3 linked regions of the Oryctolagus cuniculus genome follow. The protein of the gene in region 1 purifies or fractionates together with the protein of each later gene. This does not show direct contact. Links are inferred from orthologs where the notes say so. Each region holds a gene or a part of one and is shown in the gene's direction. Other genes may lie near its edges. The genes, in order: HNRNPU, BTRC and HNRNPA1.

Evidence for each region.
Region 2: the proteins of HNRNPU (region 1) and BTRC purify together in Homo sapiens (affinity purification with mass spectrometry; 6 studies listed by BioGRID and IntAct, with this or other methods). This does not show direct contact. The link is inferred for Oryctolagus cuniculus from reciprocal best matches to the Homo sapiens genes HNRNPU and BTRC.
Region 3: the proteins of HNRNPU (region 1) and HNRNPA1 purify together in Homo sapiens (affinity purification with mass spectrometry; 6 studies listed by BioGRID and IntAct, with this or other methods). This does not show direct contact. The link is inferred for Oryctolagus cuniculus from reciprocal best matches to the Homo sapiens genes HNRNPU and HNRNPA1.

The regions. Positions count from the first base shown.
Region 1 is NC_091444.1:64,894,708-64,901,735, reverse strand, and holds the start of HNRNPU (heterogeneous nuclear ribonucleoprotein U), read left to right. Parts: upstream 1-3,200; 5' UTR 3,201-3,464; coding exon 3,465-4,155; intron 4,156-5,005; coding exon 5,006-5,117; intron 5,118-5,204; coding exon 5,205-5,278; intron 5,279-7,028. UniProt on the Homo sapiens protein: DNA- and RNA-binding protein involved in several cellular processes such as nuclear chromatin organization, telomere-length regulation, transcription, mRNA alternative splicing and stability, Xist-mediated transcriptional silencing and mitotic cell progression.
Region 2 is NC_091446.1:28,390,342-28,397,269, reverse strand, and holds part of BTRC (F-box/WD repeat-containing protein 1A), read left to right. Parts: intron 1-2,406; coding exon 2,407-2,593; intron 2,594-6,928. UniProt on the Homo sapiens protein: Substrate recognition component of a SCF (SKP1-CUL1-F-box protein) E3 ubiquitin-protein ligase complex which mediates the ubiquitination and subsequent proteasomal degradation of target proteins. Recognizes and binds to phosphorylated target proteins.
Region 3 is NC_091442.1:57,214,338-57,221,365, forward strand, and holds the start of HNRNPA1 (heterogeneous nuclear ribonucleoprotein A1), read left to right. Parts: upstream 1-2,892; 5' UTR 2,893-3,018; coding exon 3,019-3,033; intron 3,034-3,595; coding exon 3,596-3,712; intron 3,713-3,935; coding exon 3,936-4,082; intron 4,083-4,216; coding exon 4,217-4,427; intron 4,428-4,517; coding exon 4,518-4,610; intron 4,611-4,688; coding exon 4,689-4,781; intron 4,782-5,051; coding exon 5,052-5,126; intron 5,127-5,334; coding exon 5,335-5,487; intron 5,488-6,086; coding exon 6,087-6,242; intron 6,243-6,452; coding exon 6,453-6,508; 3' UTR 6,509-6,518; intron 6,519-6,765; exon of another isoform or gene 6,766-7,028. Other genes in the region: CBX5 (chromobox protein homolog 5), read right to left, coding at 2,223-2,540. UniProt on the Homo sapiens protein: Involved in the packaging of pre-mRNA into hnRNP particles, transport of poly(A) mRNA from the nucleus to the cytoplasm and modulation of splice site selection.

The DNA.
Region 1 (7,028 bases):
TTAGAGGAGATGACTGGCCCCTTTTGTTACTATCACAAAAGCATTAAAACTATAAGAAGCAAAAAAAAAAAATTACTACAATTAATCACCACTTCTACTTTCTTTTAAAATTTTTATTATTATTTATTATTTTTATTTTTTATTTATTTTTTATTTTTTTTTATTTTTGACAGGCAGAGTGGACAGTGAGAGAGAAAGACAGAGAGAGAAAGGTCTTCCTTTGCCGTTGGTTCACCCTCCAATGGCCGCTGCAGCCGGCGCACCGTGCTGATCTGAAGCCAGGAGCCAGGTGCTTCTCCTGGTCTCCCATGGGGTGCAGGGCCCAAGCACCTGGGCCATCCTCCACTGCACTCCCTGGCCATAGCAGAGAGCTGGCCTGGAAGAGGGGCAACCGGGACAGAATCCGGCACCCCGACCGGGACTAGAACCCGGTGTGCCGGCGCCGCAAGGTGGAGGATTAGCCTATTGAGCCACGGCGCCGGCCTTTTATTTATTTATTTGAAAGGCAGAGATAGAGAGAAGAAGAGAGAGAGAAAGAGAGAAGTCTTCCATTCACTAGTTTACTTCCCAAATGGCCACAATGGCCAGGGCTGGGCCAGGCTGAAGCCAGGAGCCAGGAGCTTCAGCCAGATCACCCCTGTGGGCGCAGGGACCCAGGGGATGCGGCAGAGGCTTAACCTTTTATGCCACAGTGCCGGCCCCTAAAATTTCACTTGTTTGAGAGGCAGAGAGACTGACAGAAAAAGAGACAGACCGATTCCCATTGCTGGTTCACTCCCTGAATGCTCACAACATTCCTGGCTGAGCCAGGCCAAAGCCAGGAGCTAGAATCTCAACCCAGGTCTCCCATGCGGGTGGCAGGGATCCAGTTACTTGAGCTCCCACCTGATACGGGCCAGGGTGTAAATGAGCAGGAAAATGGAATGGAAGCCAGCGCTGGGACCTGAACCCAGCTCCTCTGATATGGGGCGCAGTCATCCCAAGTGGCATCTTAACTGCTGTGCCACGTCTGCCCCAACCAAGTGATGAAATATGGACCGAGAGACTTCCGCTGTTTGTAAAAAGGACAGATGGTGAGATGATGGTTTTCTGGGCATTTAGAGCAACCGTTTTTCTTTCAAATTTTGTCTAAAGGAGCACTGGGATGAGAGTGAGGGTCTCATTTCCTTTTTTTAAAGGATTGATTTATTTATTCGAAAGAGAGAAAGAGAGGGAGAGAGATCTTCATCTGCTGGTTCAGTCCCCTAAGTGGCTGCAACAACCAGGGCTGGGCCAGGCCAAATTCAAGAGTCAGGAGCCCCATCTGGGTCTTCCATGTGGGTGCAGAGGCACAAGTACTTGGGCCATCTTTCTGCTTTCCCAGGCGGGTAACAAGGAGCTGGATCAGAAGGGGAACAGTGGGACTTGAATCAGAACCCCAGTGGGATGCCACTGTTGCAGAAGGTGACTTAGCTATGCCACAGCTCTAAAACGAGCAGGCTGGGGGTGATCTGACCCATCCAACTCTCAACCCTCTGCAAAGCTCTGGGAGATGAAGTCATGGAAACTTCTCATGTGTACCAGAAGTAGTAATTCATTTATTAATATAAATGGTTTAATAATCATCTAAGAACAATGTAAAACTCTATTATGCTTATATAAGCTTGGTTTTCATAGTTTTTTCTGTGTTAAATGGAAATTGTTTCCTTCTGACTAAAATTTAAAAACATAAATTAAATCTGAGGACACATACACATTAGAGGACCATCGACATAATTGCACTTAACTCTGATTCATTAATTACCCAGTTGGAGAACATCGAAGCCCCCTGCAGCTCTCTTCCCAATTCTGAATGAGAGCAAGGAAGAGTTCAAATTCGTCTGTGGCTTGTTGGCAAGCTTCAGCAACATAGCCAAAGGCCAAGTGAATTTCTGACACTATTTGGACGCTTCTACTTCCGGGCTGTCCTAGTCCCCTCTGTTAATTTGAGGATTACCAGTACTGCACACTATTAATCTCAACTCAAATAATCTCACGGATGTCAGTATTTCACCTTATGCCTGAATACAGGGTAAGACACATTTCTTAAAAACTGTTGAAAAGCAGCTTTTAAAAACGAACATTTGTGGATCAGTTACATCACCTCAGCCTACGGGACAAGATTTGCATTTCTGTACTTCCACATTTCAAATCAATAGCACAGCAGTCTTTTTGTGCAGCAGGTCTCTTTCCTCATTCCCACGGGGATCGCTGGCCTGGCACTGTGGGGACGCTGGGGGATTAGGATGCTACCCCGGATTGCCACTCTCAAACTTCAACCACGATCCAATCACGGATTTCTTTTTGAGAGCGAGGTCTCTCATGGCCCGTCTGCCAGACTGTCGCCCTGTTCCATCTCAGGAGCCTTTGGTTTGGGCACCATTGGGTCCCCGCGGGGACAGGGAGAAAATCCACGGGTGGCAGGTCCTAGCTGCGCTTCGCCCTCCTCACCGCACGCCCGGGCCTGAATGACAAACATCAGGCCCCACAGAGGCCTCTGCAAGGCCACTGACGCCATGCGTGTGGCTGCCGCGAAGAGCGCGCTTTGCGGATGCAGACCGGAGGAGGGGAGAAGCCGCTTTCCCAGGCCCCGCACCGGGGGCTGCCGAAGACACAAAAGAAAGGCTTCCCGAATTTAAAAGGCCATTCGCCAGGCCGGCTTAGAAAAATGAAAGGAGATACGAGGCCGGAGGTGGGGGGGGAGAGGGGGGGAAGAAGGGACGAACCAACTCTCCGTGTGCTGACTGCCAGGCTGGGTTAGACAAGCCAGAGCGGAAATAAAATCCCGAGGCGTTTTAAAACGGTATAGCAGGAGGGGCACCCAGGACGGCAATACTAAGATGGAAGAAAAGGTGGAGGGGTTCGAGCTGAAAACGCCAAGCTGAGCTCTGCTAGCATTTCAAGCCGAGCAGCCGCCCAGGCTGGGAGGCCAAGAGCAGAACGAGCTCCCTCGGCAGAAACCCAGTGGACTTTGCAGCGGGCCGGTTAAACCGAAAGGCGGTTTCCTTCTCCTCCATTTGCTCGGCACCCAATAGGAAGCGCACTGCGCGGCCTGTGCCGCGCTCCCGACCCGGGCCTCGGCGTGGGGGCGGGGAGGCAGGGACGGTGCTGGGCGGGGCCGAGCGCGAGCGCGCTCCCGCCTTCCTGCTGCGCGGCGCGCCCGTCAGCGCGGGGGGCGGGGCGGCTATATTACGTGCGCGGCGCCGCCCCTGCGAGAGGACGTTGCGTGCTCGCTCGCGCCAGGCGAGTCTCCGCGTCTCCCTCGCGAACTCGGTGAAAGGAATTGGCGCCGTTCGACACCAGGCGGGTCCTCTCTGCAGCACGAACCCACCTCCAGCCGCAGCCGCCGCCCGGACCGAGGAGCAGCCGCAGCAGCCGCTACCAGTGGCCGAGTGAGCGGAGCCCAGTCCGAGCCAAGCTCCCTGCCGCGAATCGGGGCCCTCATCATGAGTTCCTCGCCTGTTAATGTAAAAAAGCTGAAGGTGTCTGAGCTGAAAGAGGAGCTCAAGAAGCGGCGCCTCTCCGACAAGGGCCTCAAGGCCGAGCTCATGGAGCGACTCCAGGCTGCGCTGGACGACGAGGAGGCCGGGGGCCGCCCCGCCATGGAGCCCGGGAACGGCAGCCTAGACCTGGGCGGGGATTCCGCCGGGCGCTCGGGAGCAGGCCTCGAGCAGGAGGCCGCGGCCGGCGGCGACGACGACGAGGAGGAGGAGGAAGAGGAGGAGGAAGGGATCGCCGCCCTGGATGGCGACCAGATGGAGCTAGGAGAGGAGAACGGGGCCGCGGGGGCGGCCGAGTCGGGCCCGATGGAGGAGGAGGAGGCCGCCTCGGAAGACGAGAACGGCGATGATCAGGGCTTCCAGGAAGGGGAGGACGAGCTCGGCGACGAGGAGGAGGGCGCGGGCGACGAGAACGGGCACGGGGAGCAGCAGCCTCAACCGCCGGCGGCGCCGCAGCAACAGCCTCCGCAGCAGCGCGGGGCGGCCAAGGAGGCCGCGGGGAAGAGCAGCGGCCCCACCTCGCTGTTCGCGGTGACGGTGGCGCCGCCCGGGGCGAGGCAGGGCCAGCAGCAGGCGGGAGGTAAGAAGAAGGCGGAAGGCGGCGGAGGAGGCGGTCGCCCCGGGGCTCCGGCGGCGGGTGAGTGCTGCGTTGTACGTTGCGCGCGGCGGGAGGCCCGCGTGGGGTGGGGACCGGGCCCCCGGCCTGCCGGAGCCCCCCGCTGGTGGCTGGGTGGGCGGCGGTGGGGGGAGGGAGGGGTGCGGGGAATCCCAGATTAGCCGAGAGGCCTGGGGCTCGGGGTGTGTGTGTGCGTGTGCGTGTGTGACGGCGGTGGCAGCGCCTCCATTATGTGGCTCGGGAGCCGGGGCGGGGGTGGGGGCGGGGGAGCTGCAGCTGCCGCGGGAGGGGGGGAGGAGCCCCGTCGGCCCGCGGTGGCGCCGCCGCGCTGTGTGTGCGCGCGGTGCGGGCACATGGCTCAGGGCGGGGGGAGGGGAGAGGCCCGAGGTCCCGGGGCGGGCGCGCTTTGGCGGCTCCTCGCCGCGGTATTGTGCAAGGAGCGCAGGGGCTCGGCGTGACGTCACTTCCGGCGGGAGGAGCCGGCGCGCCGAGCGGGGCGGAAGATCCGTACAATGCGGCCGCGGGCTGCGCGGGCCCGGGTGGGGGAGGGGCCGCCGCCCCCGCGCCCCTCCCCCTCCTGACCGCTCGTCGGGATCCACGTGGGCTCGGGGCCTCCGGCGCGCAGTTGCGCTTAAGCTTTCTTGAAGCCTCCGGTAGACGGGCCGAATTAGTAACGTCTTTAGGCTGCGTCACTAACTCCAATCCAATTCCAAGCTGATAGTTTGAATTCACATTCGACCTGGCGGTTCAGTATTCACCCAAAACTCATTAATTCGATGCTTTTAGGCAACTTGAAATAAAAGCGGCTTTTTTTTCTTTTGGCGGGGGTGTTGGGTGGCTTGAGCACTTATGAGAGTGTCGTGTGTTATAGGAGACGGCAAAACAGAGCAGAAAGGCGGAGATAAAAAGCGAGGTGTAAAAAGACCTCGAGAAGATCATGGCCGTGGATATTTTGAGTACATTGAAGAGAACAAGTACAGCAGGTAGAGGATGCTAACGGATTGTGCGTTGTTGTTGCCCGTTCTCCGTGGGTGGGCAGAGACGTATCAGGAGCCCATTCTGTCTTTCAGAGCCAAATCTCCTCAGCCCCCCGTTGAAGAAGAAGATGAGCACTTCGATGACACAGTGGTTTGTCTTGATACTTGTAAGTGAAGCTGTTTCACCCGCTCCCCCACGCAGTCCTCAAATGCCTTGGGTTTTTTTGACAATGTTAGATTGCAGTACGTTTAACCTAAGTGCAGAAAACATGTACAGTTTTCTAAAAAGCAAAGATAATGATTGATACCCAGAGTGCAGTAGTTTAATATTAATATGCCATCAGTTGTGTTGAATTGATTTTACAGGCTTTGGCAATTTTAATTGTAATTTAAAGCTTCTTATTCTTGAATGTGAAATTGATGCCAATTTTGGACTAGTTAGCTAATGGAAACTGTTAACGTGTCCTACAGTAATTTCCTTTTATTTTGGGATTGTTAAGTCAGCTACTTGGGCTGGTTAAATACTTAACTGATGACTTTTCCCATTAGCACTCAAGTATATTCCCTATTCTAAAAGACTGTAATACTATTTCAATAACTGCTCTTTTGTTCTCAATTCCAGTTCAGTAGCTGCTGCTTTAACATAAGTTGATTTCTTCCAAAGACCTGGGGCAGCAGCAGTGGGCCATCACTGGGCCACTAGCTTTCTTCAGCAGCGAATGGTATCAATGGCAGCACTGTAAATACTACGTTACCCAGTTGGGTTGCAATCGAGTATGCGGAATTATTGCAAACCTTTAAATGGGCCGTGGCTGTCAGATTTTACTTAAATTACGTTGGGTTAGCGTTTGATCAGAATAGGATGCACCAGTCTTTCCAGTGTGAAATAGAACCAAGAGTAGAAATCGTACTTGAAAAGTTAAAATGTCAAGTTGCTCTGGTAAGGCGGAAGTTAGATTCGGATGCTTCCTTGTACAGATTGTTGATTCAGGTGATAAATGGTGATACCTCTGATTTCTTACTTGAATACCCTGTACAGGTAGTTAAGAGTTGAGTCTTTGGGAAAAAAATGCATATGGAAAAGGTGGCTTGAAATTTTGATGTCAAAATCAGTTGCTTCAAGTTACTAGCAGTTACCAAGATGCTGAAGCACTGATTACAGGAGCAACAACAGCTTCTTGAAATCATAGTTCTATCAGTGATCAGGAATTTCAGGAGCAAAGCTAATTTAAAAGTTCCGAACTGTAGGTTTCCTGTCCTGTAAAAAGGAAAAGAGCCAGCTTTCTACCTTGACTTTAGCTGTCCCTCACGTGACCCAGAGGTAGCTAGATTAAAGATGCTTTGGATTTGGATGACCTGATTAAGAGCTTAATCCTTAATTGTTGCTAATACACAAATACACAAGACCAAAATGCTGTAATATTGACAGTGTTAGAAGACCAGATTTGTATATTCCAAGTTGAGGCTGCCTTGCCTTATTCCTAAGATTTAGAAAATAATTTAGGACTTAGGAGCCTAGTGTTAAAGTACGGGATCAACAGCTCATACTCCTATGTTCAAATATTTGGCCGTGGCCTCCCTTCAGTTTTATTGTGGCACTGGTAAATTCTACCTGGTTCTGGCATGCTTCACTTTGATTTCCTGCTATCCTCTACTGCGTGCCTCTAAATCAAGGTAAAGAGCAGAGCAGGTATGTATCCATGTCACATGTCTTGTTTTATATTCTTAAAGACATTAAGCCTTAGTTTATAGGCAGTTTACTCTTTAGTACTTAATTTGATAAGAATGGTGGGAGTGGGGCTTACACGGAAAATTGGGAAAACAGCATGGTGTTAAAAACTGTTTTCTGCAGCATTAAGAAGTACATGAAAAAAATTTAACATCCAAGTTTTGTCTACATAGCAAATAGATTTCCAT
Region 2 (6,928 bases), on another chromosome or scaffold:
GGGCAGCGTACGGGCCGTAGCAGCCATTTAGGGGGTGAACCAACGGCAAAGGAAGACCTTTCTCTCTGTCTCTCTCTCTCACTGTCTAACTCTGCCTGTCCAAAAAAAAAAAAAAAGAGTATAAACTGTAAAAATAAGAATATAAACTATAAAAATAACATGTCCCAGAATCCCGCCATTCAGAGAGAACTACTATTAAGTCTTCCAAAAGGGCTGGCACTGTGGTGTAGCAGGTAAAGTCGCTGCCTGCAGTGCCGGCATCCCAATTGGATGCTGGTTCAAGTCCCAGCTGCTCCACTTCCAATCCAACTTTCTGCTATGGCCGGAAAGCAGTGGAACATTGCTCAGGTGCTTGGGCTCCTGAACCCTCGTAGATCTTAAAAAAAAAAAAATGTTTTGCACTTGTGCCATCCTCCACTGCTTTCCCAGGCCATAGTAGAGAACTGGATCGGAAGAGGAGCAGCCAGGACTCGAACCGGCACCATATGGGGTGCTGGCACTGCAGGAGGCGGCTTTACCCGCTACTCCACAGCACTGGCTCCCCAGAAAATAGCCACTTCTTAAAGCCGAATTTTATCTGTATCTTTTATTAAATAGATTTTTGCCCCCTCTTCACTCACTGGCTTTTGTTTTAGCCACAGGCGAGTAGTTTTCTTTGTACAGTCTGTGTGTACCTCATTACTGTGTTTTCCCCAGTCACTGAGACATACTACTATCTCAAGCTTACACTACTAAGAATTGAACAGGAGTTGATGAGACCTGCGTATTCTTTGTTCCATACTGATCCCCACAATGTGTCTGCTGACCACTCGGTGAGGTATTAAATCATCAGTTTAATGCTTTATGGACATTTAAACTTAGAAACCTACACCATCTGGCTACGTTTAGTAAACCATCTACTTCAGAAATGCCTCTAATCCATTAATGTAATGGTTTTGTTTGGAGTGTTTGGTGAAATTACTTCCCAAGACTTATGGGTACGTAGTAAGTGATCAGGAGCAACTTGATGTCAGCTACTAAAACACAGGAAGGTGTTTTGGCAACTTGTGACGGCGGAGACACTTCCAGTGTAAAGATTCAGGAATTGTGCCATCACTGGATTTTACATGATGTATTTTATAAGTCCTGTGTCTGTAATTGGCTTATCATCATGTTTCTTTAATAAGAATTAGGTGATGGATGCCTCCATCTGCTTATGCTTAAATATGAACATGTGATGCCAGCCAAACAAGATCCGTTTAATGCCTTCTTTCCCAAGTCTGCTAGAAGATGTGACTGATATCCATACAATCTTTATAATTAGAAAAATGTTTAAGCATAGTTGGATTGTTGCTAATCACATCAAAGTGTGTCTGTATAATTTGGGGAAAGGCACAAAAATGAAATGTGGTGCTCTCCTGTTTGTTAAATTTATGTCTACTGGAGTCAGGGCATAATGGAATCCTTCTGAACTATTTAAGTCTTTGTAATATATAACCTGTAAAGAGAAATAGCCTTCATTGTTTTTGACTCGTTTTTGAACTTAGAACAGAAGCCCAAAGATTTTTTTAGTGCGATCATCCTGTCGTGTAGGAGCTTTTCCACTGGGACCCCAGTGCAGATTTGAGTGGCTGTCAGGTTTACCCAAGCCAAGATCTACTCTTTACTCTTTTCCTCTGCACATCCTGCAGAATATCCTCTGAGATGCTTACCAAGTTGTCTATTGGTCTGGATTTTTTTTTCCACTTTTGGTCAACTGTCATTTAGGTTTTATAGCAGCAGCTATTCTCACACAGCTTTTTTTTTTTTTTTTTCTTTTTTGAAACATCTGAAATGAAGCATACCTCACTTTCTTTCCTCTTGGGGTATTCCTATACCATTCTGTATTTCCTTCTTCTCCTCCTTTCTGCATGCCCCAAATTCTATAACCCAGCACATTCTGCCTTAGTGTTTCTCCCCCAGTACATTTAAAGGATATTTCTTCTACTGAATAGCTTTGGAATTGCAGCAGTAATAGAAACAGAATGAGAAATGGACCTAATATAGAGATTTGGGGGGGTCTGAATCAGAGTTTGAGATGCCATCCACAGAACATCCCCTAGTGCTGAAATCCATATAGATAGATGTGAATTGTTTTCTGGAATCCTTTTTATTTTTAATGTCTTGGAGGGGTTGCTGGTTGTTAGCTTTAACTTCCTTATCTAAAGGAAGATGGAAAATACTGTTCATTTCTGTAACCTTATGGAAAAATTATTGACACTCATTTTACCCAAGCCTCTGTTTGAAAGAGCAACTGGACTACGCTGGGGACAATGATATGCCTTCATAATAGAACAAATGCTATTCTGTTTTAAAGGACCTTTTGTGAAAAATCATTCACTATCCCCTTTATTCTTTCTCTTTGCCTTCTCCCCTCCCCACTGAAAGCACGGGGTTTGGATCATATTGCTGAGAACATTCTGTCATACCTGGATGCCAAATCGTTATGTGCTGCTGAACTTGTGTGCAAGGAATGGTACCGAGTGACGTCTGATGGCATGTTATGGAAGAAACTCATCGAGAGAATGGTCAGGACAGATTCTCTGTGGAGAGGCCTGGCAGAACGAAGAGGGTGGTGAGCCTTTTAACTTGCTTAACAATCAGAGAGTGTTAGGGCCCAGCCGTCTTGCCACTGGAAGGTTGTTGGGAACAGTGAACCAATCACTTACCACTTACTACAGTGATTTTACTGATTTGCAGCTAAAAATAGAAAATAGTTGCTCATGCACTCAGCGGTTTTTCTTCTGACCCGTCACTCATAAAATGACATCACAATGTGTTAATATTGCTTGGCAAAAAATAATAGAACACTGACCAGCCATCCTGTTTCTCTAGGCAGAAATTAGTATCTTGCAGAAGGGCTGATAAGTAATTTATAAGGCAAGCAAATGAGTTTGAATCACATGGAAGCCATCAGATCAAGCTTTCCTCTGTAAAAACCCAGGACAAGTGAGCATTTTGTTTTTTCAGATTTCTTGCCTTTAGCCCATTCCTCCATTTTTTTTACCTTTGTAACAAAAGAGTATATTTTATGTCCAACTAAAATAAGAACTCTAGCTGTCAGAAAGAATAAAAAAATTAGTATAAATCATTATTTCTTCTTAAGATTTGGGTTTTCTCGTGATTTCTTACTTCATTTTGAATTCACTAAGGTTATTATACTCATATGCATGGATCTAAAAAAAATTTTTACCAAGATACACTTAACTTTAATTCTGTTTTCTGTAAACTTTGAAGTACCCTCATGTAGTTAGAGCCTAAGAGATTTCACCAGTTTTGTTGTTGTTCTCTTAACCATTCATTAGAACTTCTGGTAACCTCTTTCTTTATATAATTTTCTTCCTAAGTATGTTTCTAGAATGGTACTATATGAAGTCAAGCATGAGTCATTCATTAAGAAAGGTGACATAATAAATGTTTTAGCTGATAGAAAGACTGATAATAGGTATATGCATATTCATTTTTGCCCTTCCAACTTAATTTTTAAGTTGTTTATCTGGATCATAAAGAGATCTAAAACAGTTAAGAATGGAGAATACTTTTTAAAATACGCGCTTTGGATTAGAATTTTCACCAAAATCTAACTATCCCCCTTTTTTTCTGTCTTTGAAATTCATTAACACGTGATATATATATATGTGTGTGTGTGTGTGTGTGTGTGTGTGTGTGTATATACCAACTGCTTCAGAGATTTCAATCATTCTAGCAATTAAAAAGACTTAAAAATTTTTCCTCTCAATGAAGGGAATGAAACACCAAAGAGATCTTTGTCTATGTAATAATTGTATAAAAAAGATGTGGCATTGTGGCATAGCGGGTGACGCTGCCATCTGTGACACCGTCATCTCATATGGGTGCAGATTTGTATCCTGGCTGCACCATTTCCAATCCAGCTCCCTGCTAATGGCCTGGGAAAAGCAGCAGAAGATGGCCCAAGTGGTTGGGCCCCTGCCACTCATGTGGGAGACCGGAGAATGCTCCTGGCAGACAGCAGATGATGGCCCAAGAACCTGGGTTCTTGCCAACCAAGAGGGAGATCCAGATGGGAGTTCTGGGATCCTGGCTTCAGCTTGGCTCAGCCCTACCATTGTGGCCATCTGGGGAGTGAACCAGCGGATGGAAGACCTCTCTCTCCCCGCCTCCCACTCCCCCCATCTTTCTCTGTAATTTGAACTTTAAAATAAATAATCTTTTTTTAAATTTATTTGAGAGACGGAGTGACCAAGAGTGAGGGGAGGGGATCTTCTGTCCTCAAGTTCACTTCCTGAATGTCTGCAACAGCTAGGGCTGGGCCAGGCTGAAGCCAGGAGCCCAGAACTCCCATCTAGATCTCCCTCATAGAGAACCCAGGTTCTTGGGCCATCATCCGCTGCCTCTCAGGAACATTAGTAGAAAGCTGGATCAGAAGAATAATAGTCAGGTCTTTCCACTGGGATCTCACTCGCGGAGATCCTTCATTTAGGTCTTTTTTTTTTGCCAGAGTTTCTTGGCTTTCCATGCCTGAAATACTCTCATGGGCTTTTCAGCTGGATCACCTAGCACTCTGATATGGAATGCCAGTATCACAAGCTGTGGCTTAACTGTCTGTACCACAACACCCTTCCAGAAAATAAACTCTTAAGGTGTATAACAAAGAAACTAAGTATACAGTTAGGTACAGAAAATAAATGCTTTACATGTATAACAAAGAAACTAAGTATATAGTTAGGTCCAGAAAATAAACTCTTAATGTGTATAATAAAGAAACGAAGTATACAGTTAGGTGACATTCAGAGTCCATTTTGCTTAAGTACCTGCACTAGCCTTAGAAATACAGCAAGGGCCGGCGCTGCGGCTCACTAGGCTAATCCTCCGCCTGCGGCGCCGGCACACCGGGTTCTAGTCCTAGTCGGGGTGCCGGATTCTGTCCCGGTTACCCCTCTTCCAGGCCAGCTCTTTGCTGTGGCCCGGGAGTGCAGTGGAGGATGGCCCAAGTGCTTGGGCCCTGCACCCCATGGGAGACCAGGATAAGTACCTGGCTCCTGCCATCGGATCAGCACGGTGCGCCGGCCACAGCGCACTAGCCGCGGTGGCCATTGGAGGGTGAACCAACGGCAAAAGGAAGACCTTTCTCTCTGTCTCTCTCTCTCTCTCACTGTCCACTCTGCCTGTCAAAAAAAAAAAAAAAAAAAAAGAAAGAAAGAAAAAAAAAGAAAGAAATACAGCAAGCAGTTGCTTCCATGGGAAGACTAGAGCAGCTGGGAAAATTTCTCTGCCCCTCAGAACATCACAAAAAACTGTCTTCCCATTAACTACTGACCTGGAATTCAGTTACAGAGGTTCATCCCCTGGGGTATAAAGGTTTTGTTCCCTGTTAAAATACATTTTGTTCCTATTTGAACAGTAAATGACAGTGAGCTTTCAGTAGACATTGAGAGTTTATGAAGTCTCCTTTTGCAGGCAGGGAGAACAGGAAATGGGCAGTCTTAGCAGATGGCTGTGAAAATGCCAGAAGTAAAAGCAGGCTCCCCAGTTTTGCTTAGGGCTGGCACTAAGCCGAAATCGACAGTAGTTACAGAGAACGCAAAACTAGTATCACTGGAAAGATGACGTTTGGCCTTTGAAAAAAGTGTGTGATAGTCTAGCTAAAAATTATCCAGGGTTCAGCACCAATTGCCACTCTTTCCTGTCTCTTCACAGAAACCCATGCCTGCCTGGTTTCTTCTTTGTCTTTGACCATATTTGTCTTCTTGATTAGGCCCCATGAAGTTGCAAATGCTTGTTCACCCTGTTAAGACCTCCAGTACTCGCCTGACCTTCTTGTTGCTACTTCCGTTTCTACATGTTGCCTTTTTTCCCTGTTAGTTTTCCTCCTTTACTTTTTAAAAATAATCTGTGATCGGCTTCTCAATTTCTTCTCTGAAGTGGTCTTAGCAAGCCTGCTGCATTGACAAAGCCTTTCTGGTTATACCCTGCCCCATGTGCTGTCTGTGAAAGTGTCTCCCACTTCTTCTAACCAGAAATGAATAAACAGATACAGGGTTTTGTTTTGTTTTTAGAGATTTATTTATTTATTTGGAAACCAGAGTTACAGAGAAAGAGGGAGAGAGGTCTTCCATCTGCTGGTTCACTCCCCAAGTGGCCACAGTGGCTACATCTGGGCCAGTCCAGAGCCAAGAACTTCCTCTGGGTTTGCCACATGGGTGCACTTGGGCCATCCTCCACTGCTTTCCCAGGCACATTAACAGGGAGCTGGATCGGAAGTGGAGCAGCAGGGACTCAAACTGGTACCCATATGGGATTCCAGGATTGCAGGTAGAGGCTTTACCCACCACGCCACAGCACTGGCCCCTGTAGTTTTGTACTAAAGCTTTGGATCACTAAGATTTAGCTTCCACTCTGCCACTGTGTTTGGTTTTATTTCTTGTGATTTTTTTTTAAAGACTTATTTATTTATTTATTTGAAAGGCAGAGATAGAAAAGGAGAGAGAGAGAGAGAGAGAGAGAGAGAAAGTATCTTCTACTCACTGGCTCACTCCTCAAATGGCCACAATGGCAGAGCTGGGCCAGGCCAAAGCCAGGAGACAGGAGCTGCTTCTGTGTCCCTGACATGAATACAGGGCCTCAAGTACTTGGGGCCATCTTCTGCTGCTTTCCCAGGTGCATTAGCAGGGAGCTGGATTGGAAGTGGAGAGCAGCGGGGGCTCAAATGTCTGCTGACGCTGCAGGCAGAGGCTTAACCTTCTACAGTACACCACAGGCCCCAGCCACTGTGTTTTATGTCTAGGTGGATTTGATAGTCTGCCCCAGGACATGAACTCTGCTGTTTTCTCTCTTAAATAATACTGGTTCTGTTCTCTTCCCTCAGTAATGGTAACTCTTAAAAGTATAATAAAAGACCACTTGGGAAAAGTCCATTTTTTTAATCAGC
Region 3 (7,028 bases), on another chromosome or scaffold:
GGTGAAATCCTTAACAGGCATCTGAGACAAAATTTACCTTCTTAAAAAAAACACCTTTGCCATTATTTAGGGAGCCAAATTCAAGCAGTCAATCATATAATTAGATTGCAAGAAATATTAAGAATGTTAATGAAGTATCACTTTTATCAGAAGGAACAATGATCCTATTATGTGTCTGAAAGAGATAAGTGATAGGATTTAGTAATCCACTCAGCAAAGGCCCCTCCCTAAATACATCCCACTTTTATTGAATTGGTAAAACAGAGGACTTTGAAAGGATAATTAACTCTAACATCAGCCATTTTAGGTCTGTTTCAAACTGAGATTCCGATGCTTACCCCTCTCAGACCTTTGGCAACGCCTGGCGGCTGTGAGGACAGCGGGGGGGGGGGGGGGGGTGCTGCTGGCTTCTAATAGGTAGAGCCAGGGAGCCCAAGACAGCCCCCACTCCCTGCCCAACAGAGAAGTATCTGGCTCAAAGTGCCCATAGTGTTGAGGATGAGAAACCTTGTTATAGATTAAGACTGTATTCCTTTTAAACCTAAATAAATCCAGGATACCCTCAACCGCTCTCACTTTAGTTATCAGAAGCTCAGCAACTGCACTATCAGCATATCCACAAATAGGTTTATGATCAGGTATGAAACACAGATTTGCCGTTTTTGCAAGTACGGGAGAACACGGAAATCTCTGCTCGGTTCATCACAAGCTCCATTAAAATCATTTGTATTTGCACAAGTGCGGAGAGGTCTCCAATCACAAGTGTACTTCATATGTGGTTGACTTTTATTAGAGTATTTAAAGATTGCTCCCTTGGCTTTAAGTCAGTGAACAATAAAGCAGTAAGACCCTAACACACCCAATATATAATGCAAACTTTTTTTTCAAAAGATCCCTGAATAAGCAGAGAAAGCATTATCAACAGAAGACAGACTACATGCAGAACACCCTCGTAAGGAAATCTAATCAAAAGGCAATGAATACTCCAGGTGATGGATGGGTCTTTTGTCTCCAACACCCTAACGTATCGCCTCCTACAGCGGCTTCCGTGGGACATCCTCAAAGGAACAGCACAAAGAGGGACACGGGAGATCTTTAATGGTGTAAAGAAAGATATGTACAGGAGGGAAAGTCAGAGAAAAAGACCAAGACAAAAGCACGGAGCAGCTAGCTGAGAAGAGAGACAAGGGCGATGAGAAGTATGATAAACAGAAACGCACACACAAAACTGACTTCATTTTTTATTTTATTTTAATCACAAATCGTCACCCCTGTAAAGATTAAACACGGGTCTATTGGAAACCCAGCCTGCCTCGGCCCCGGCGTCGGCAGAAGCAACACACTCCGGACAGGGGCAGGATTCTGAAACTTTTCTGCGGGCCTACGAACACCTTTGTGTCCGCAGAAACAGGCATCCTGAGGTCGCCTTGCCGTACAGTACACAGTGATTTCTCTCATTCGCTAACACTCAGTCCGTCTTCCTAAAACAAGTTCTCTAAATCGAAAGCCCTGCTCGGGTTTCCCCCAAACTCAATGTGGTGGATGCTGGGATGCCCCGACGTGGAGAGCGATGCCAAGCTGCAGCACCCAGGACCAAATTTACGCTTCCGCTACCAAAGAGGTGCACCGGGCGGGGGGCTTCGCAGAAGTCGTAGGGGGGAAAAACCCACCCCCGCACGCCATCACGACCATTGAATCTCCTTCCTCCCCACCCTTTCCCACCAAATCGAAGACCTCCCCGTCCTGGAGAGCCTATTGGACGACCTGTCCGAGAGGCTTCCTTGGGCCGCCCGCCTACTGGCTCCAGATTTGGTCCATCCACTTGAGGGCCCAACTCCCGCCTTCCCCGCTGGAGTCAAACCCACGGCCCCTCGGAGAAGCCCAACCTACCGCGCGCTTCGCGCTCATTGGCTCGGCGGGACGCTGCTCAGGAAGGGAAAACCCGCCTCCCACATTCCGATGGCCCAAAGGCCGATCAGTCGGCAGCTCGAGGTAGACCCAATTGGCCTAGACACGCGCCAGTCAAACGCCTCGGCGGCACAGCTCCACACAACCTACAGGGATGGAATATCCCGCCCCCTGTTCTTCTATTGGTTGGCCCAACCCACCGCTGCCCCTTGACTATCCCCCCACCCCACGGTCCATTCATTTCACACAATAACGGGCCCAACTGGAGCCGGTCCAAGGCCTTGTACAGGTAGACAAGACTCTCTGCCACTTACCCGGGATCGAGAGTGATCACACACCCTAACGTCTGCCCCGTTCCTCTGTGCTGAGGCCGCACCACAAGCCACCGCTGCTGCTGCCTTCTGCGCAACGCCAACCGCCCGCCAAAACGGATCCTTCCCTGCGCCTGCGCAACCAATCCTGGGCCCGGACCCTTTCTCCGCCCACAACGCCTGCGCAAAGCAGCGCGCAACTCCCGCCACTACGCAGGCGCCGTAGGTTAACCGCCTTCTCCCGCCCGCCATTTCACGTGTTTCAAGCGGCGAGCGGAACTCTATAATGCGCATGCGCAAGATCGCCATTTTACTACACATGCGCTCAACAGGCGGTTGTTGAAAAAAACCGTCACATCTAACTACTTTTCTGCTGCTTGGTGTTAATAATGCTTTACCAAACAAATAGGATATATAATTTGGACTAGTAGAATGAAAAAAAAACGTTTAGACAGGCGAAGTACGTTCAAAAATGAATGATTGTTCAGTTAGCCAATCAGGCTGGCTAAGAATAAGATTGCTCGAGGACCAATGGGGTCCGAGGGGTGGAGACTGCGCAGAACGCCCTAACGGTGACGTACGCAGCAGTGCGGCGCCATACACCAATAGTAGAGGGAAGCGATTTCAAATGTCCAATCAGAGCGAGGCAGGGGTGGAGTCTGCCAATGTCGAAAGCGAGGAGGCGGGATAAAAAAGCGAGGCCGAAGGTAGGCTGGCGGATACGTTCGTTGGCTTACTCCTTTCTGCTTGCGGACGCCGCCGAGGAAGCATCGTCGAGTTCTCTCTTCCCACCGCCGTCATGTCGAAGTCAGAGGTGAGGAGCTCCCCTTTTCTAACGTAGTTCTCCCCCTCGTCTCCCTCTTCGAGTCCAGTAGGGGCGGTTTCTTTGCCCGCAGCAACCTTTTCGGCAGTTTGCTCGGTCGCGGCCAAGGCCTACCCCTCCCAAAGTTCAAGTCGCCATTTTGTCCTCGTCGTCGCCATGAGGTTGCGGGCCGCTAGCCCCTCGATAATCACTCCGGGGTCGGCGTCGGGGCAAAATCGTTAGCCATATGGCGATTTAGGTTCAATTTTGTCCCGGCGAGCGGGTTTTAAAAAAGCCTTGATGCCCCTCACGGCGATGTCCCCCTCCCGCGCGGACCTTTTGTTGCGCGCGTGCGTCTGGAGGGAGCGGAGCGGCGCATGCGCTGGAGGCTCCCCAGCCCCCAACGGGCCGCCTCCCCTGATGAGGGGGAGCACGTGGCCCGCTTTGGACCGGAGCGAACAAAAAGTGCCGCCTTTGTGGGGGCCGAGTTGTGTTCCCCACCCCCCGCGTGGAAACGGGGTCGTGTGGTAGCCCGAATTTACAAGAGAAAAACCAATTTTGCTCTCCCGCCCAGTCGCCCAAGGAGCCCGAGCAGCTGCGGAAGCTCTTCATCGGAGGGCTGAGCTTTGAGACGACCGATGAGAGCCTGAGGAGCCATTTTGAGCAATGGGGCACGCTCACGGACTGCGTGGTAAGACTGGGGAGGGCCGGGAGGCGGGGCGTCGGCGGCTGTTCCTGCAGATTCTGTGCGAGGGCTTAAGATCCTAACGGGGCCTGAGTTCTGAGTTAGGAATGGCTCGTTTGTGGCTCTTCGGCCTGCTTTTTGGAAGTTGCGGGAGCGGGGAACAGGAGGACCGCCCTATAACCTCCTACGGGCCCGGGCCTTGTAATAAGCAAATTAACGCTGTCTCCAGGTAATGAGAGACCCGAACACCAAGCGCTCCAGGGGCTTTGGGTTTGTCACCTACGCCACCGTGGAGGAGGTGGATGCGGCCATGAACGCAAGGCCACACAAAGTGGATGGAAGAGTTGTGGAACCAAAGAGGGCTGTGTCGAGAGAAGTAAGTGGGCCCCCAAACCCCCATCGGTTGTGGTAATAGGCTTGCCATTGGGGAGCCATCTGGACCCTTTCAAGTACTTGATAAAGGACACAGATTTTGCCATTTAGAGTAACTCGTGGTTCTCGGCTCGGTAGGATTCCCAAAGACCAGGTGCCCACCTCACTGTGAAAAAGATCTTCGTGGGTGGCATTAAAGAAGACACTGAAGAGCATCACCTCCGAGATTACTTTGAGCAGTACGGGAAAATCGAGGTGATTGAGATCATGACTGATCGAGGCAGTGGCAAGAAGAGGGGCTTTGCTTTTGTGACCTTCGACGACCATGACTCCGTGGATAAGATTGTCAGTGAGTATCAGATCCCAGGCACTTTGCGGGCTTTCTGCAACGCACGTGGCATTCCACTCTAACCCCGGGCTGTTTGTCATCAAATTTCAGTTCAGAAATACCACACTGTGAACGGCCACAACTGTGAAGTGAGGAAGGCCCTGTCGAAGCAGGAGATGGCCAGCGCTTCGTCCACCCCGAGAGGTATGTCTATTGCTTAGTCGGACGTTAAGGTAACTTTGAGTTTTTCCAATCTGTATGGTTTAACACTTATCTCTCAAGGTCGAAGTGGTTCTGGAAACTTTGGTGGTGGTCGTGGAGGTGGTTTTGGTGGCAATGACAACTTTGGTCGTGGAGGAAACTTCAGTGGTCGTGGTATGTATGGTTAGCTAAGGTTAACTCTAGAGAGCTTGTGGTTTCTTGACCCTAGATGACTTGTCCCTTTTTTTTCTGTAACCTGTAGTAGCATATAACAAATGGCCTACGTTTCCGAAGTTAAGTTTTATCTAAAATGCAGCTCTGGCCTGTAACTAACCAGAAGTTACTCCGGTGTGCCAATCGTTGTCACAGTGCAGGGAGCGCTTCCAGAGCGTACCACGCAATTCATATGCTCTAAACCTGCTGCACGTGTTTGCTTTCTTCCAGGTGGCTTCGGCGGCAGCCGCGGTGGAGGTGGTTATGGTGGCAGTGGGGATGGTTACAATGGATTTGGTAATGACGGTAAGTCTTTAAAGAATACATAGGTAAAAATGTTTCTGGCAACTTGTGTTACTAGATTAGGATGATAGAAACTGTTAACTGCTAGTGCATGATAAGCTCAACTGAACCCATAATAAGCATGCTTTGCGCAGGCCTTTAGCCATTACACTTGAACCGATTTTGATTGTTAAATACTTTTGTCTTATTGAGAAGAATTGTATTCTTATAGGTGGTTATGGAGGAGGCGGCCCTGGTTACTCTGGAGGAAGCAGAGGCTATGGAAGTGGTGGACAGGGTTATGGAAACCAGGGCAGTGGCTATGGCGGGAGTGGCAGCTATGACAGCTATAACAACGGCGGAGGCGGCTTTGGCGGTGGTAGTGGTAGGTATCGAGTGATCCAAGTACTTGGTCTGATAGCTAGATTAGTGTTTTAGCATTTTAATGCCCATATTGCGATTGGAAGCTCTTAAAGCATTGTGTGGTACACTGCATGGTATATTAAAAGGAAATGAGCTTGCTGTGCTACCTCCTCCTAGCTTTAAGCTGGGGCCGCCTCACTCCCAAATAAGTAGATGCTAAGCGGGTAGTGGTGTCTGTGATGTGAGTGAGTTAGCATCTTGGCAGGGTTTAGTGTGTGGAACTCCTTGGGACCGCAGGCACTTAGTTGATACATCCAAGACCGTTGACCGTTGGCAGTGGCCTGGATGCATGCACAAAGGCCTGTGAGGCTAGAGAGTACACCTCTAGTTGCCACTAGGAAAAATTCAACTTCTAATGCGGTGAACTGGGTTGCTTTGTAAAACTTCTGGATTATTCAACTGAATGCCTTGTCCAGAGAATGAAAATGCAGATGTGCAGCCACCTGAGTTTGGGAGGAAGCAGGCAGATAATAAAAGCTTTAATTCTGAACACTGAGCAGAATTGGGTACTCTCAGTCACCTTCTCAAGTAACACACAAAGGCCATCTTTCTGTTCCCTAGGAAGCAATTTTGGAGGCAGCGGAGGCTACAATGATTTTGGCAATTACAACAATCAATCTTCAAATTTTGGACCCATGAAGGGAGGAAATTTTGGAGGCAGAAGCTCTGGCCCCTATGGTGGTGGCGGCCAATATTTTGCCAAACCACGAAATCAAGGTATGGTATGAATGTAACTGGGAGATGAGCAAGTAAAAGGGAAAGGAGTTGGTTTGTTGGGTGCATAGCTGATGGTGCTGCCCTTGTCAGGTTTCGCTAAGGCTGTTAAATAGTCACTCCTAAGTTTGAACTTGTCTCATCCCATTGAACATGAAAGCAGGGCTTTTGCCGTGGGCACTTGAGAGGTTAAAAGGCCCAATCTTGTTCTAGGTGGCTATGGTGGTTCTAGCAGCAGCAGCAGCTATGGCAGTGGCAGAAGGTTTTAATAACTGCCAGGTAAGTAAACACCTTTTTTTGTGTGTGCTTTTTTTTTTAAGTTTTTATAATCGCTGCTAAACCCTAATGTAGCTAAGCAGTGTGGCATAGTTAACATTATAATATTGCAGTAAAATTGTGGGTATTAAGTTCAGATAATATTGATAATTCAGATGAGCAAAATTTGTGGGAAACAACTTAATATTGGATTGTAGCCTTGAGTCTTAATATGTTTAGATTAACAACTTTATTCCATATTGTTCAACAGGAAACAAAGCTTAGCAGGAGAGGAGAGCCAGAGAAGTGACAGGGAAGCTACAGGTTACAACAGATTTGTGAACTCAGCCAAGCACAGTGGTGGCAGGGCCTAGCTGCTACAAAGAAGACATGTTTTAGACAATACTCATGTGTATGGGCAAAAAAACTCGAGGACTGTATTTGTGACTAATTGTATAACAGGTTATTTTAGTTTCTGTTCTGTGGAAAGTGTAAAGCATTCCAACAAAGGGTTTTAATGTAGTTTTTTCTTTT